2 linked regions of the Rattus norvegicus genome follow. The protein of the gene in region 2 purifies or fractionates together with the protein of the main gene of each other region. This does not show direct contact. Links are inferred from orthologs where the notes say so. Each region holds a gene or a part of one and is shown on either strand. Other genes may lie near its edges. The genes, in order: Canx and Edem1.

The links.
Region 1: the proteins of Edem1 (region 2) and Canx purify together in Homo sapiens (affinity purification with western blotting; 6 studies listed by BioGRID and IntAct, with this or other methods). This does not show direct contact. The link is inferred for Rattus norvegicus from reciprocal best matches to the Homo sapiens genes EDEM1 and CANX.

The regions. Positions count from the first base shown.
Region 1 is NC_086028.1:35,153,525-35,160,813, reverse strand, and holds the start of Canx (calnexin precursor), read left to right. Parts: upstream 1-2,956; 5' UTR 2,957-3,052; exon of another isoform or gene 3,053-3,100; intron 3,101-7,289. UniProt on the Homo sapiens protein: Calcium-binding protein that interacts with newly synthesized monoglucosylated glycoproteins in the endoplasmic reticulum. It may act in assisting protein assembly and/or in the retention within the ER of unassembled protein subunits.
Region 2 is NC_086022.1:143,362,389-143,369,183, forward strand, and holds part of Edem1 (ER degradation-enhancing alpha-mannosidase-like protein 1), read left to right. Parts: intron 1-200; coding exon 201-273; intron 274-4,484; coding exon 4,485-4,588; intron 4,589-5,711; coding exon 5,712-5,883; intron 5,884-6,795. UniProt on the Homo sapiens protein: Extracts misfolded glycoproteins, but not glycoproteins undergoing productive folding, from the calnexin cycle.

The sequences.
Region 1 (7,289 bases), on a different chromosome or scaffold from region 2:
GTAAGGTGAGTCGGTATTCTTTTCTGCTTCACGTGTCTTTGACATAGCTACACATGTAAGTGTGTGAGCACCCGTGCATTCCTCTGTGTGTGTGTGTGTGTGTGTGTGTGTGTGTGTCCTAAGGAGGCTGAGGCAGGAAGATTTCAAATTCAAGGCCAGCTTGGCCTTTATATCGAAGTCTATCAAAAAAAATAAAAACATGAGAGACAGTTTAGATGGCTCAGCAGGTAAAGGCATTTGCCACTGGGCTGACTAGTTTTATGTCACCTTAATACAAGCTAAAGTCATTTGAGGGGAGGAACCTCAATTAAGAAAATGCCTCCGGGGCTGGAGAGATGGCTCAGTGGTTAAGGGCACTGACTGCTCTTCCTGAGGTCCTGAGTTCAAATTCTAGCAACCACATGGTGGCTCATAACCATCTGTAATGAGATCTGATGCCCTCTTCTCGTGTGTCTAAAGACAACTACAGTGTGATTATATATAATAAATAAATAAACCTTAAAAAAAGAAAATTGAGGAAGTTTCATGAACAAGCAACTAAAAGAAATCTATGTGGTCAATGCAAAATATTTAAAGTATCTGTGACAAAATAAGCTTTATTTTCAACCAATTAATTTGACAGTGTCCAATTAGTGTGTGTAGAGAGAAATGACCAATACTAGTGTAGCCAGTGAGACAAAATTGTGTGGAAACATGAGTGCTATTGCTTGCAATAGGATCTAATCAAGTAAAAGAGATTGAGGAGGAAGATATTGGAAGTGGTTTCAGTGGAAGGGTCGGGGGAGAAAGAGTTAAGACTTAGAGATTTATGTCTAATCACTTATATCTTTGCTGACTGTTCAACACTAAGCTTCTAGAAAATTTTAGATAAATAACAACATGTGTTGGATGAATAAGGTTTATCAATCCCTAAGGTCTACTCAGGTTAACACTAATTGACTTGAAGGTATATATTTACTAACTTCCTTAAGCTATTGGACAAACTGAATCTCAAAGGAAACTAATATTCTATAATGACACACCATGAAAGGGTCAGAAAACTGAGGTTCCCAGTCTGTTAGTGGACTGTACAGTTTGGGGCCATCATGTTCTCATTTTTATTAGAATTTCACATTTATTATTGTGTGTATGTGAATTTGTGTAGAGATCAGAGTACATCTCAATTCTCTTCTTCTACCATGTTGAGTTCTGGGAATCAAATTCAGGTCGTCAGGCTTGGTGGCAAGTGTCCTTACCTGCTGAGTCGTCCCCATGGCCCTCAAAACGTTTTTTGTATATAGATCTCCCAAACACCCGAGAGCCGCTTTCTTGCTTTTCTGTAGAGTTTTCTCATCTTAAGAACTTCTTTCCAACTCCACCTACAGAAAATTTGCATATCTATGAGGTTCAGGCCAAGTCTCACCTCTTTCTCTTTCTTAGAAAAGTTCTGCCTCAACTCCTCTACTCCTTCAGTACTGACATATTTTAACACCTCTCTGCAGGATTTTTTTTTTGTTCTCTTAAATTCAATGCCATCTTGGGTAACACAAGCCAGAACACCCATCCTAAACAAATTTAAATACACACACACACACACACACACACACACACACACACACACACACACACGCGCGCGCGCGCGCGCGCGCGCGTGTGTGTGTGTGTGTGTAAATTATGTGTACTTACGCGCGCGCGCGCGTGTGTGTGTGTGTGTGTGTGTGTGTGTATAAATTATGTGTACTTATGTAATGTCCGCTGTCATTGGATTCGAGGCAGCATAAAATCCCCTGGAACTGGAATTACAGGCAGTTGTGAGTGATGGGAACTGAACCTGAGTTCTCTGGAAGAGCAAGTGCTCTTGATCACTGAGCTCTCTCTATCCAGATCCTTAAGGGGATTCTTCTGCCTTAGCCTCCTAAATACCTAAGAACTGGGACTAAAGCATGTGCCAACCTGGCTTCATTTTTTTTAAACATGCTCTTTATAAGGCAAATAAGGAAAGGGATTTTCTTCTTTAAAATTAGGGAGAATTGGCGGTTACTAAATTGACCTAAACATCAAATCCTTAACTGCCTTTCTCTTGGGGTAGCAGGAACAAAGCTGGTTTCATATGTAGTTACATAGATGATAAAAATCTGTTTCTTTCTCCAGTAGTCAAAGCTTTGGGTCACCAAACACAACCAGGAGCGATCAGGATTTTCAAAGACATAGCCAAATCCATAGCCACTTCAATCTTACAGCGTTTTCACCATATTGAAAAAGGAGTGGGTTACGAAATGGCTATTTTAAATCTGCACATGGCATCACCCTGTCGCTAGAGTATGTCTGATTTTAACGCCTGAAACAGCACGGGAACATGGGAAGGTGAGTTCATGTTGCATGATTGTGACTCTAGATAGTGTTTTGTTAGGTAAAAAGGTCCCAGGTTCAGGGCGATGACTCCGCAAGACAGTGTCTGCTGCCCAGAGGGATCTCATTCGCTGCATAAGCACACTGGCCTGACCTCTCACCATTTCTGATGAAGGGCATAGGTCCCAGACAGGATTGGAACAGGGTTTCTAACTCAATGGGTGGGAAAAGGTGTCTTTTGGATGGCCACCAACACACCGGCCCTGAGGAACCAGGTCGACCCACGCGAGGACGCACGCCAAATCCGCCCGCCCTCCGGCCCGCGCACCCGCCCGTTTGGTGACGGCCGCCTTCTTTCCTCATACCCAATCAGCAACCACTTCCTGCCTCACTCTTGTCCAATCATCACGCTCCACGAAGAATAGCCCTAGGGGGCGTATGGGAAAGAGCTTTGAGCGATGGCCGTATCTACCAATAGATTCTCAGATCTTGCGCAAAGGGACGGGAGTTGACGTTTGTTGTAGCCACTCAGGAACGAGGGGCGGACGCGGGGTTGGGCTTCGTGCGGTGGGGCTCGCTCGCGCGGCGGCGGTAGCCGAGGCCTCTTAGTTCTGCGGCACGTGACGGTCGGGCCGCCTCTGCCGCTGTCTCCACTGCAGCACGGGGCCCGGTGTGCGGGTGGGAGAAGGTGAGGGAGCCGCCAGTGGTCCCCGGGAGGCTCGAGGTGAGACGGGAAGCGTGTGCGGGGACCTCAGGCCTGGGACGAGTCTGGGTGAGCGGCGGCGCGGCGGAGGGGGTCGGGCGTGGCAGGAATCTCGACGGCTGAGGGTCCGGCGGGCATTCGAGTGGCGCAGGCCCGGGCGGACGCTCAGAGCAATGAGGAGAGCGGCAGGGTTAGAGAGACTGGTCTGGGCAGCGCCGCCGGGGTCGGGAGGCGTGGCAGGTGTCCTGGGGTTTCCCTTGACCTCTGAGAAAGCTAACTACTTCCTATGGCTTTGGTTCTAGAGTTTTCTTAGGCCCTGTCCTGGCCCACCCAGAGGTGGACTGAGTAATCCGGTATAGGTGTAGTATTAGAATTAGGCCTAGTAGGTAGCCCAAATAGTAGGGAAAGGTGAAGTAAATCCATAGAGATAAGCGTTACAGTTTCAATATTAGAAAATAATATGTCCAAAGCGAAGTCTGGACCATAGCACCCCGATGAGGGAGTAGAATGTACTAGAACGTGTACCGCTTGAGAAACTTAAGGCTTAACTATTAAAGCACCTGCCTATTCGGTGATGATAGATAGTGATCCAGTGAGGGTATTCACTGGACCTTAAAAGCAGGAAATACAAGCGAAAGTTCAGTTAGTGAGTGTAGGAAACTGAGGCCTAGAAGTTTGAAATGACTGGCCCAAGGTCATACAGGTAGTTCTAATCCAGTTCGGATTGTAACTGAGGACTAGACAGTTTGGGTTTCTTAGTTAAGGTTAAAAGTCCTGGTGCAAGCTCCTAACTGCAGTTTATCGGGGGAAGTGGGATTTGGGAGATTTTCTACTTTATGGCTCAGTCCCCTAGGAGTAGACAGAATGGCTGGTCTTGTATTAAAAGGTAATGGGAATGAGAAATTGGATGTATAGTAAAGGTTCAAGGAGTAGTAATTGCACTGGCTTCTTGTAGTCGGAGTGAATGCTTTGGTCATTACACTGATATACTAATTTTTATGTTAAGTCCTGAGGGCACATTAATGACACCTTGTATATTAACTGCTGGTCATGACATTAGTGATTGCTGGTTGTGTGAAGTTAAACCGAACTGAATATTAAATGCTTGACAGAGATGAGCTACGGTTTCTTTACCCTGAGGAAATGGAAGATTCTGCCTGTTTTTTAAATAATCCTCCCCCTTTTTAAAGGGAGAAATAATTGGGTTATCTGAAAAATCTTAGTATATTTTCTAGTACCATTTGAAAGGACACGAACGGAATCGATTCTCATTTTGTACTTGAGCTGTAATTAAGCTTACAGGCCAGGCAGGGTACACAAGTGAGCCAGGCCCTGAAGAACTGTTTATAGAAGTGAACTATCCACAATAGGAGTTTACTGAGCTGTCTGAAAAATGGGTGTCTCCGCCTTGCTATCTTAACAGTGCAATTAGCTCTGTAATCTTTCAAGGGCCACAAGGCACGTGCATCTTGACAACACACCTTGCATCCATGTCCTGGAGAGGTCACTTGCCCTGCCAGAGAACTTGAAGGGAGTAGAGTGGCAGTTGGTAAGCATAACTGCAGAATACAGTGTCCAGCATAGTAGCTTTGCTTCCTGTCCTTTATAAATGGGAATGAGTCTCCTACTTGCTTTACCTTTGAGGGGGCAGCTACTAAGAAACTGCTTTGGAAAGTATAAGGAAATGGGCAAATAGAATTGGCAGCTCATAAAAAGTCCTAAGAAGTAAAGTGCCAACCAAAGATAGTTGTAGTCTGTATAACTTACTGTAAAACTCATTAGGAACATGCTTATTAAATGCTTTGTTATTGCTACAAGTGCTAGGTAAGAATTTTTAGGCTTATTTATCTAATTTTTGGTGTATGCGTGTTTTGCCTGCATGTATGTATGTGTACCAATGTGTGTGAACCATCATGTTGGTGCTGGGGATCAAACCTGGGTCCTCTGGAAGAGCAGCCAGTGCTTTTAACCAGAGCTATGTCTTCAGCTCTGAAAAATTTCCTTTTTTAAAGAATCTAGAAAATTTTCATATTGTGGTATTAATGTCTTTTTAAAAATCTCGTTAAGATTTATTTAGGTCGGGAGAGATGCTCAGCAGTTGGGAGCACTGGCTGCTCTTCCAGAGGTCCTGAGTTCAATTCCCAGCAACCACATGGTGGCTCACAGTCATCTCTAATGGGATCCAATGCTCTCTTCTGGTGTGTCTGAGGACAGTATACTTATGTGCATGAAATCACATCTTCCCTCTGGCCTTTTTTTAATTTTTTATTTTTTTATCCTTTTTTTTTCTAAAGATTTATTTATGTATGCCTGCAGGTCACAAGAGGCACCAGATCTCATTACAGATGGTTGTGAGCCACCATGTGGTTGCTGGGAATTGAACTCGGCCTCTGGAAGAGCAGTCAGTGCTCTTAACCACTGAGCCATCCCTTCAGACCCCTCTCTGGCCTTTTTTAAAAAGTTGTATATATATATTTTTTAATCTTATAAAAGATATATTTAAAAACATTTTTATGTGTATATAGGTATAATTATATACAATATATTCATGGGTGCCCGTGGAGGCCAGAAAAGGGCATTATATTCCCTGGTGTTGGAATTACAGACTGTCATAAGCTGCCCATCTGGGAACTGAACCACCTCTCCATCCTGGGTATTCACATCTTAAAGTGAATTAATATGAAAAAAGTTAATTAAAAAAATTTAGTAGATGGATGGTGTGGTAGTGGCTCACCTTTGATCTCTGCATGAGGATAGATTTCTCTCTGAGTTCAAGACCAGCCTAGTCTACAGAGTGAGTTCCAGGACATCCAAGACTGTACAGAGAAACCCTGTCTCAAGAAACAGATTATTTCTATGTTTCTGTTAATGAAAAGAGATCCAAGAAGGTGGGTATAACGCTTGCTTAGCAAGTTTGAGACCAAGGGCTTTACTCCCAGCACATGAAAGCAAAAACCCGAAATCTGACCTGTGAGTAAGGTATTACAGATCTCATTGATAGAGCGGATCACAGATCACACTGTTTCCCAGGTGTCTCCCTCCTCCCACTCCCACTCCACCCCACCCCCAAATGCTAAGGATGGAATCTAGAGCCTTGAACTTAGTCTACTACTCAGCTGTATCTCCTGACTGCCAAGGTAATCTTGAATTTCTGGGTTCACTTAATCATCCAAATTCAGGGACTACAGGAGTGTGTAATCATGCATATTTTTTATTATTTAATAGATGAGCATTTACAGCTGTATTTTTCCCTATTAAATGTTATAATTCTCACAAGATGTTTTGTTTTTTGTTTGTGTGTGCTTGTGCTGTGGCATTTAGGCTTCTTTTTGTTCTTTTTTTCGGAGCTGGGGACCGAACCCAGGGCCTTCCTAGGCAAGCGCTCTACCACTGAGCTAAATCCCCAGCCCCAGCATTTAGGCTTCTTGACAAGTACCTTTCCCCTCTATGCCTTCTCTCTGGCCTTTTTTTTTTTTTATTTTTTATTTTTTTATCCTTTTTTTTCTAAAGATTTATTTATGTATGCCTGCAGGTCACAAGAGGCACCAGATCTCATTACAGATGGTTGTGAGCCACCATGTGGTTGCTGGGAATTGAACTCGGCATTGGAAGAGCAGTCAGTGCTCTTAACCACTGAGCCATCCCTTCAGACCCCTCTCTGGCCTTTTTTAAAAAGTTGTATATATATTTTTTTAATCGTGTGTTTCTATGTGTATATACACACATGAGTGCAGAATCCCCGAGAGTGGAGTTATGGGTGATTGTGTAAGCCACTTACTGTGGGTATCAGGTCCTCTGCAAGGGCGGTAAGCACCTTTAATATCTGAGTCATCTCTCTAGCCCATATTTTAAATTTTGACAAGGTGTAAGCAGTAGTAAAATCTGAAGGCAAACATACACAAATAGTGGAAAAATGGTAAGAGGGTCAGGATATTTGCTACCAGGCCTGATGGGTGCCATTGCTGGGTGCTACTTGGTGGAAAGAAGACACTGACTCCTGGAAGTCACCCTCTGACTTCCACATAAGTAATAAATACAACTAGGTGCTTATATTTTCCCCCAAATAAAGTTTAGAGTACTTGCTTTAAAATTCATTAAAAATCAACAAGTAGAAATATTAGCAATATCTAGTAACTGTCACTAAAACAGACTTCCTCATAAGCACTTGAGATACGTTTAACCTAGTCAGCAATTCTACAGTAGAAGTTAGTATTGGTTTAGAGAAGAAATCCAGGCCCAGAGATTAGCAGTTGACCCA
Region 2 (6,795 bases):
TGCTGCCCTTGAGAAAGAAGGCCTTCGTTACCCTGCCGTGTGCCCACAGCCGCTTTCTGGATCAAAGGCACTCTTAGCAGTTTTAGTTTCTCATGAGTGTTTCCTTTTATGGGTTTTTTTTTTTTTTTTTTTTTTTTTTTTTTTTTGGTTTCACTTTAAATGAAAATGCCTTTGTTTAGTTTTAATTCTTTCTTTTTCAGTTCAAATCTGAACATCAACGATGTACTAGGAAATTACTCTCTGACCCTGGTTGATGCCTTGGATACACTCGCAGTAAGTGTTCAGCCTTTTCTTCCTTAATTAAGATAATTAAGGTAAAGTGTTTGGGGGCCTACTGTATTTCTTCATTTCCCCAAGGAGTGGGAATTCCAGGAAATGCTGTACTCAGAAGGCTTTGATGAGTGTTATTTATTTTAATGACCTTTCTGGGAAGGCAAGAGAGCATGGAAGGTTAAGTGAGGGGACATGTGGCTCTCCTTTAAAGGTAGAGAAGAAATGTATGGCTAGATTTTAAAAAGCGTTTCTTTTCCCTTGCCATGCTAGTTATTGACTTGGAGGAGGGATCCTGTCAGATGACCTGATATTTCTTCACTGCTCAAACTATGACAAACAGTGAAACCTTATATATCCTGGAAGGCTGAACAGTCAGGTCACAGGCTGCATTAACTACTTTCCTGTTGTTGTGCTGAAACACCAGGGTGAAGAGCCAGTTGAAGGAGAGAGAGTTTCTTTAGGCTTAACGGTTCTGCAGGGTAGGCCTCAGTGCTGGGAAAAGCATGGCTGGATCAGGAAGCTGGATGATCATTCATGTTTTCCTCCACAGGCTGCACCTCCTAGAGGTTCCAAAAGGTCCCCAAATAGCACCAGCTACTGGGGAACAAGTGTTCCAATACTCGAGCCTATGAGGGATGTCTCATTCAAACTACTGTGTGTGTGTGTGTGTGTGTGTGTGTGTGTGTGTGTGTGTGTGTGTGGGTGCGCGCGCGCGCACCTTCTAGCCTGTATGTCTTTCTCCCAGAAATCAGGTCACACTTTCCAGTCACCTTTTCCCTCTGGGACAGAGCTCATATAAAAAGGATACTGTGCCTCTCAGTGGCTTCTTCTCATGTAGCTAGCTATAAGATAAGTTTATGCTCCTCCTAAGTGCCCATCGCTGTGCCCTTGGTACATAGATCAGACTAAGCTAAACTATGAAGTATGAAGCCTGCCCCAAACCCTAAGAGCCTTTAAGAATCAGAACTTCTATTTGTTTTCTGGAACTATGAGTCCAGTCTCTCCTTTTGGGACCCTGTCTCTCCTAACTGCTCTCTCTTTTTAAATGGCCTTAGCTGGAAGGCTCTCTCCTAAGGGTTCATTCTGAAGGGTAATATTCTGTTAGCCTTTTTTTAGGGACCTACTATTTTTCTTTTTAACTTGTAACACAGGGCTTCAAGAGCAAAACCCAGAAGCTTTCAAGAGAAGCTATCCTAAATGGCTTCTAGTTCCTGGCTCCTCAGGGGTGTCTGTGCAGGGTGCCTTCCCGTGCATGCAGCCCTCTCTGTGGACACCAGTTATTTCCTGCTTCTTGGTGTTGGCCGTTGTTTACCCAGCTGCATCCCGCTTTTACACCTCTCATCCCTTGGCGTCCCTCATTGATCCTTGGAAGCTGGAGATCTTGAAACATAAAGGCAAGGCATGTTCTGAAGGCGCTCAGTGTACTGGACGTGTCAGGCTGTTCAGTGCTTAATGCATAGCACCACAGAGCATGCTTTCCAGGGGACATTGCCAGTGTTCTGCAATCTCCTTAGTAACTTTACAAACTCTTGCCTGTTCTCTCTGAGTCATCTTTACTATTAGAAAGCTATTAAATCCTGCATCAAGTCCTGTATTCAGTAATTTATCTGATTCCTTTAAATGTCACCAAGACATGTCTAAAGCTGTCAGGTAGGAGTTGGAATTCGTTAAGGGAGCTAAGTTCACACCGTGACTCTCTTGTGTCTTGCTAGTAGTAGAGTTGCAGGACTCGGAGAGAGCTGGAGGTGATGTTGTCTACCTTCATTTTATGGATAGCAGAAAGAGGAGGGGGCCCTGGTTCTAATAGGGCTGCTGGGTTTCCTTCTAGGCTCTAGTCACAGAGAACTTTCAGTCTCCCAGTATTTCCTTCTGAAGTGATTGCTGCTCCATTAAGTCTCCATCATCCCTTCTCAGAATGTGCCCAGACAAGTAAGTGCAGTGTGATTAGTGCTACCGCGCTGGAGCTGCGAGAGGCTGACTCAGCCTGCTGTTGGGAAAGGAGAGTCAGAAGGTGCATGTGTGGCTTCAGAAAGCTCACCCTCGAGGGCACTCCTGTTCATCCCATCTTGTCTCTCTACCCCGTTGCTTGCTAAGGACAGAGATGCCGTCATTACTGTTTGTTGTGCTACTCCACACTTGACAGGAAGTGCTACTTAGTAGGATTGGAGATTTTTGTTTAAGTGAATATTTATAATCCAATTTTGTCCAATATCTATTCTAAGGGTGCACCTCTTGAATAGTAAAGTTCTTAAGCAAACCAGAGGAATTCTGACTTTTAGAGATCCGCATCATACAACAGCATTTTATTTATTTAATTTTTGCGTTGAGGTAAAGAAGTTATTTAATTTAAACAAATTAAGAGCATTTATTTAGTGCCTATGTGTGTGTGCTCATGATACAGCATGTCAGTGGAGGTTATAGGACAGCTTGGAGCTTGTAGGACTTAGTTCTCTCCTACCATTTGGGTTCCAGGGATCAAACTCAAGTTGTCAAACTTGGTATCAGGAGCCATCTTCCTGGCCCTGTTTATTTAATTTTTGAGACAGGGTCTCAACAGTAAGGTTCAGGATGGCCTTAAACTTGGAGTAATCTTCTTGCCTCAGCCTTGCAAATGATGTGCTTGTTTGTTTATGTTGGTGGACTTGGAAATTAATCCCAGGACTTTGCACACATGAGGCAAGTATTTTGTTCTTTTAGTCAAAGTCTCCAACTGGTGACCATCTTTATGCCTCAGCCTCCGGAGTGCTGGAATTAGGGATAGAGCTGAACGTCAGCATTTTCAAGGCTCTGAGAAGTTCCTCCTCTATCCGGTCAGTCTTTCTCAGGCCCATGCAATTCTGTGCCCTGGTTACTTTGTGCTCACTGGCTGTCTAATGTGTATAATTTGGTGTGCCTAGATTTCATCACCTTCCCCATTTTGTTCTGAGATCATATTTGCAGGTGCACCAAATACTGTTCTTGGAGAACATCTGTGAGGAAACAGACCTATTTCTGTGGTTTTTCAGAGTAGAGTAGCTGGTCTTGAACATGTTAGTGTGTTGGCTCACTTCTCATGAGGTCCTTAGGTTGAAGTTTTTCTCTTTTGTTAGCATTTTCAACAGATGTTTGCAGATAAGCTGCACGAATGCCCAGGGGAAAAGAGTCTCCAGACCATTGCATACAGTCGGAACGAGATTGCATGATCTTTTAAAAAGGAAAACTGAGAACAGAAAGCCTGTGTCTGCTCTACACCCTAGCAAATAATATGATTTGAGAAACATATTGATCAGTATTGTAAGAGATAAGACACACCCCAAAGAAGGAGTGTTTGAAGAATCATTTCTCCTTGATGTTATTATCTATTTCTCCACTTGTTTATTGGTGTCTATGTTTATGACCATAGGCAAAAATGGTTTTAAAATATGGGTGAAATCAAATTATTTCTATGTAGGTCAAACTGAGTATTTTGTGACGGTTTTGCCCTTTAAGAAGGGAGTAGGACACTGGGGTATTATATCTACACATGTCGCATAGTAACCTTAACTTTAAATTGGAAGTAGAACATATTTTGATTTTATACATTAAATATTTATTTTTCAGTACATGTGTATATATGTTTGTGTGTGAGGGCAAGCATGTGCCACAACATTTGTGTGGAGATCAGAGGGCAAACTGCTGTCTCTTTACATGGGTTCAGGGATCTGCACTCAGGTCATAGGTCAGTCAGGCTTGCATGGCAAGTGCTTCTACCCACCAAACCATTTCCCAATTTCATGCTGTTTTGGTAGTACCGTTTCTCAAAACCCTCACACATCTGGATGGAAAGCACGGTTGATTAGTTTTTCAGATGTCTTGGATTTATTTACAAAGCAGAGATAGAGTCACATTTTAATTTTCTGGCTTATTTTCTCCTATTCCATGATGTTTTAGAAACTGCCTTGTAAATCAAGGTCAGCTCAGAGCTTGGAGGAGAAGGGAGTGGGGAGACCAGACACCCCAGGGCTGGTTCTGTGTTGTTCACACAGTTGTGCCACTTGGAGCTTGGACCCTTGAGTGAGTGGTAAGAGACAGGCTTGCTGTCTGTCCTGGAGTAGAATGTGAGAAATGACTTGTGGCTTCCATTCCCACTGTGGCAAAGCCATAGGCAGTACAGACACACAGGTGCAGCGGCCGGCTGCCATTTCAGTGCCAGTTTCAAGCTGCTCTAATGTTTTGTGTTCCTCTGTTTAAAGATAATGGGAAATTCATCCGAGTTCCAGAAAGCAGTCAAGTTAGTGATCAACACCGTTTCATTTGACAAAGATTCCACCGTCCAAGTCTTTGAGGCCACGATAAGGTAACGTAGCACAGGAAATGGGTTGAAGACTTCTGGTGTATGGGTGAGGGGTGTGTGTGATTCCCGAGGGTTATTTCTTCCAGGGTCTGCATGTATGGACTCCACGTCTATTATTTATGCTCATTGTAGTTTAGTATCTATGGAAACTTGTAGTTTTGATGTGTGCATGTCATCGAGGTTTGAACTGCACAGAAACACTCATTATAGGGTCCATAAAGGAGGGTGCCCCTCAGATGCACTTCCACTGACTCCATTCATGTCCTTTCTGATTTCCTCGTTTACTGTCTCCACAGCCCTCATTCATGTTTTTAATGGAGTTCTGCATCTCTCCACTCACAAGAAACACTGCTTGCTCTTTTGATGTCTTTTCCTCCTGTATGGTTTTCACTTATCACTCACTCTTTGCTAAATATGGTGGACTCAGCCTATACCCAGTTTTGTGCCTGGGTTTCTCTAGGGTGAAAAGTTGACCCTTTCAATGTTTAAATAAAATTATATTGCTACGCAACAATCCAGATCCAGATTTGAACCTTGAAATTGAAGTTATGAAATTATTTATTCTAAAACAAGGAAAAGAAATCATTTGTTTGAAAAATCTTGCAGTCCTTTTTAGACAGTTTCGATGGGACATTTATGTATCTACAAGGCCATAAATCAGAGGGAAGCCTTCTGTTTCTCAGGATCTCCCACTTTTTCATTTCCCTCCTCAGATTGTCTCACCACACATGGGCGTGGTTCTTCAGTCTCCCTGTAGACAGTCAGACCTGCAGAAGAGTCATGGTTCCTTTTCTTAATGCCCTAAGATCAAGAAATTCATGCTTTAGGCAGAATCCTCAGTTGTCTTGAATAGATGATTCCCCTTCTTTTTGTTAGCAATGCAGTGAGCTGAAGATCAGTTACTTAGAGCCAGAGAGGACTATAGGAATCCTATATAGGATTCCTATATAGGAATCTGAATCAGGTCCTGCTGCTCCAGGCAGCTTAGGTCCTGAAAAGTAGAGTCATCTTTTGTCTTTGTAAACTGGATTCTGTACTATCATCATCATCATCATCACCATCATCATCATCACCACCACCACCACCACCACCATCATCATCATCATTTTTATTTTCTTGCTATTAGGGTTCTGGGAAGCCTCCTTTCTGCTCATAGAATAATAACTGACTCCAAACAGCCCTTTGGTGACATGACAATTGAGGATTATGATAACGAATTGTTGTACATGGCCCATGACCTGGCTGTGCGGCTTCTTCCAGCTTTTGAAAACACCAAGACAGGGATCCCCTATCCTCGGGTAAGTGACTGGTTTGTTCCGTTGTTTTGCTGGTTTTTGAGAAATGGCCTTGTGCCATGTAGCCCAGGCTGGCCTTGAACTGTGGTTTTCTTGCCTCAGCCTTCCAGGTGTTAGCATTGCAGGCATGAGTTACCAGACCTGGCCGCCTTGTTCCTTTGTGGTTCACAGTTCACTGTGTTCTTGAATTAAGACTCCTATAAAAGGGATGGGTCTGATTATAAGAACCAAGCAGTGTCCTTGGAGAAGATTTGGTCATCTTTTAGAAATCTGCATTTGGTGTTCTGCCTGAATGTCTGTGCGAGGTAACTGAGTGACAGATGGTTGTGAGCCACCATGTGGTTGCTGGGATTTGAACTCAGGACCTCTGGAAGAACAGCCAGTGCTCTTAACTGCTGAGCCATCTCTCCAGCCCCATAATATCAATTTTTAAAATTTTGAGCGTTTACTGAGTACCTTCTGTGTGCTAAACATACGGTAATAGAGCAGTTAGCCTTTCACCTTGAAGAACCATGCGTCCTCTTGTGTGGTTTGCATTTTCTCTTATGAGACAGTATGGAGAATGTTTCTTCATTTCTGTCTGACTTGGATATACTTCCCAAAGATCTTCATGTATTGGAAGAGCTCAGTGAATGTTCATTTAAATGCTTCGCATGCCTGTAAGTGAAGCCTGCAGAACCAGCCAATTAGATGCTGGAGTGAGATTGTATATTTGTGGCATCTGATTTAGCAAGCCAAATAACTCCTTTGGGAATTGTGTTAGCCTTCTCTGTAAGCAGGGAGAAGTGCTAGACCACAGGACCTCCATGACGAAACTGGCTGTCATCCTGTGGCTCAGCTTCTGCTCCTTTCCCGTCCAACAGTTGTTTGCGTTTGCTGAGAAGGAGTGCTTTAGACACTCCTTCAAGTTTAGAA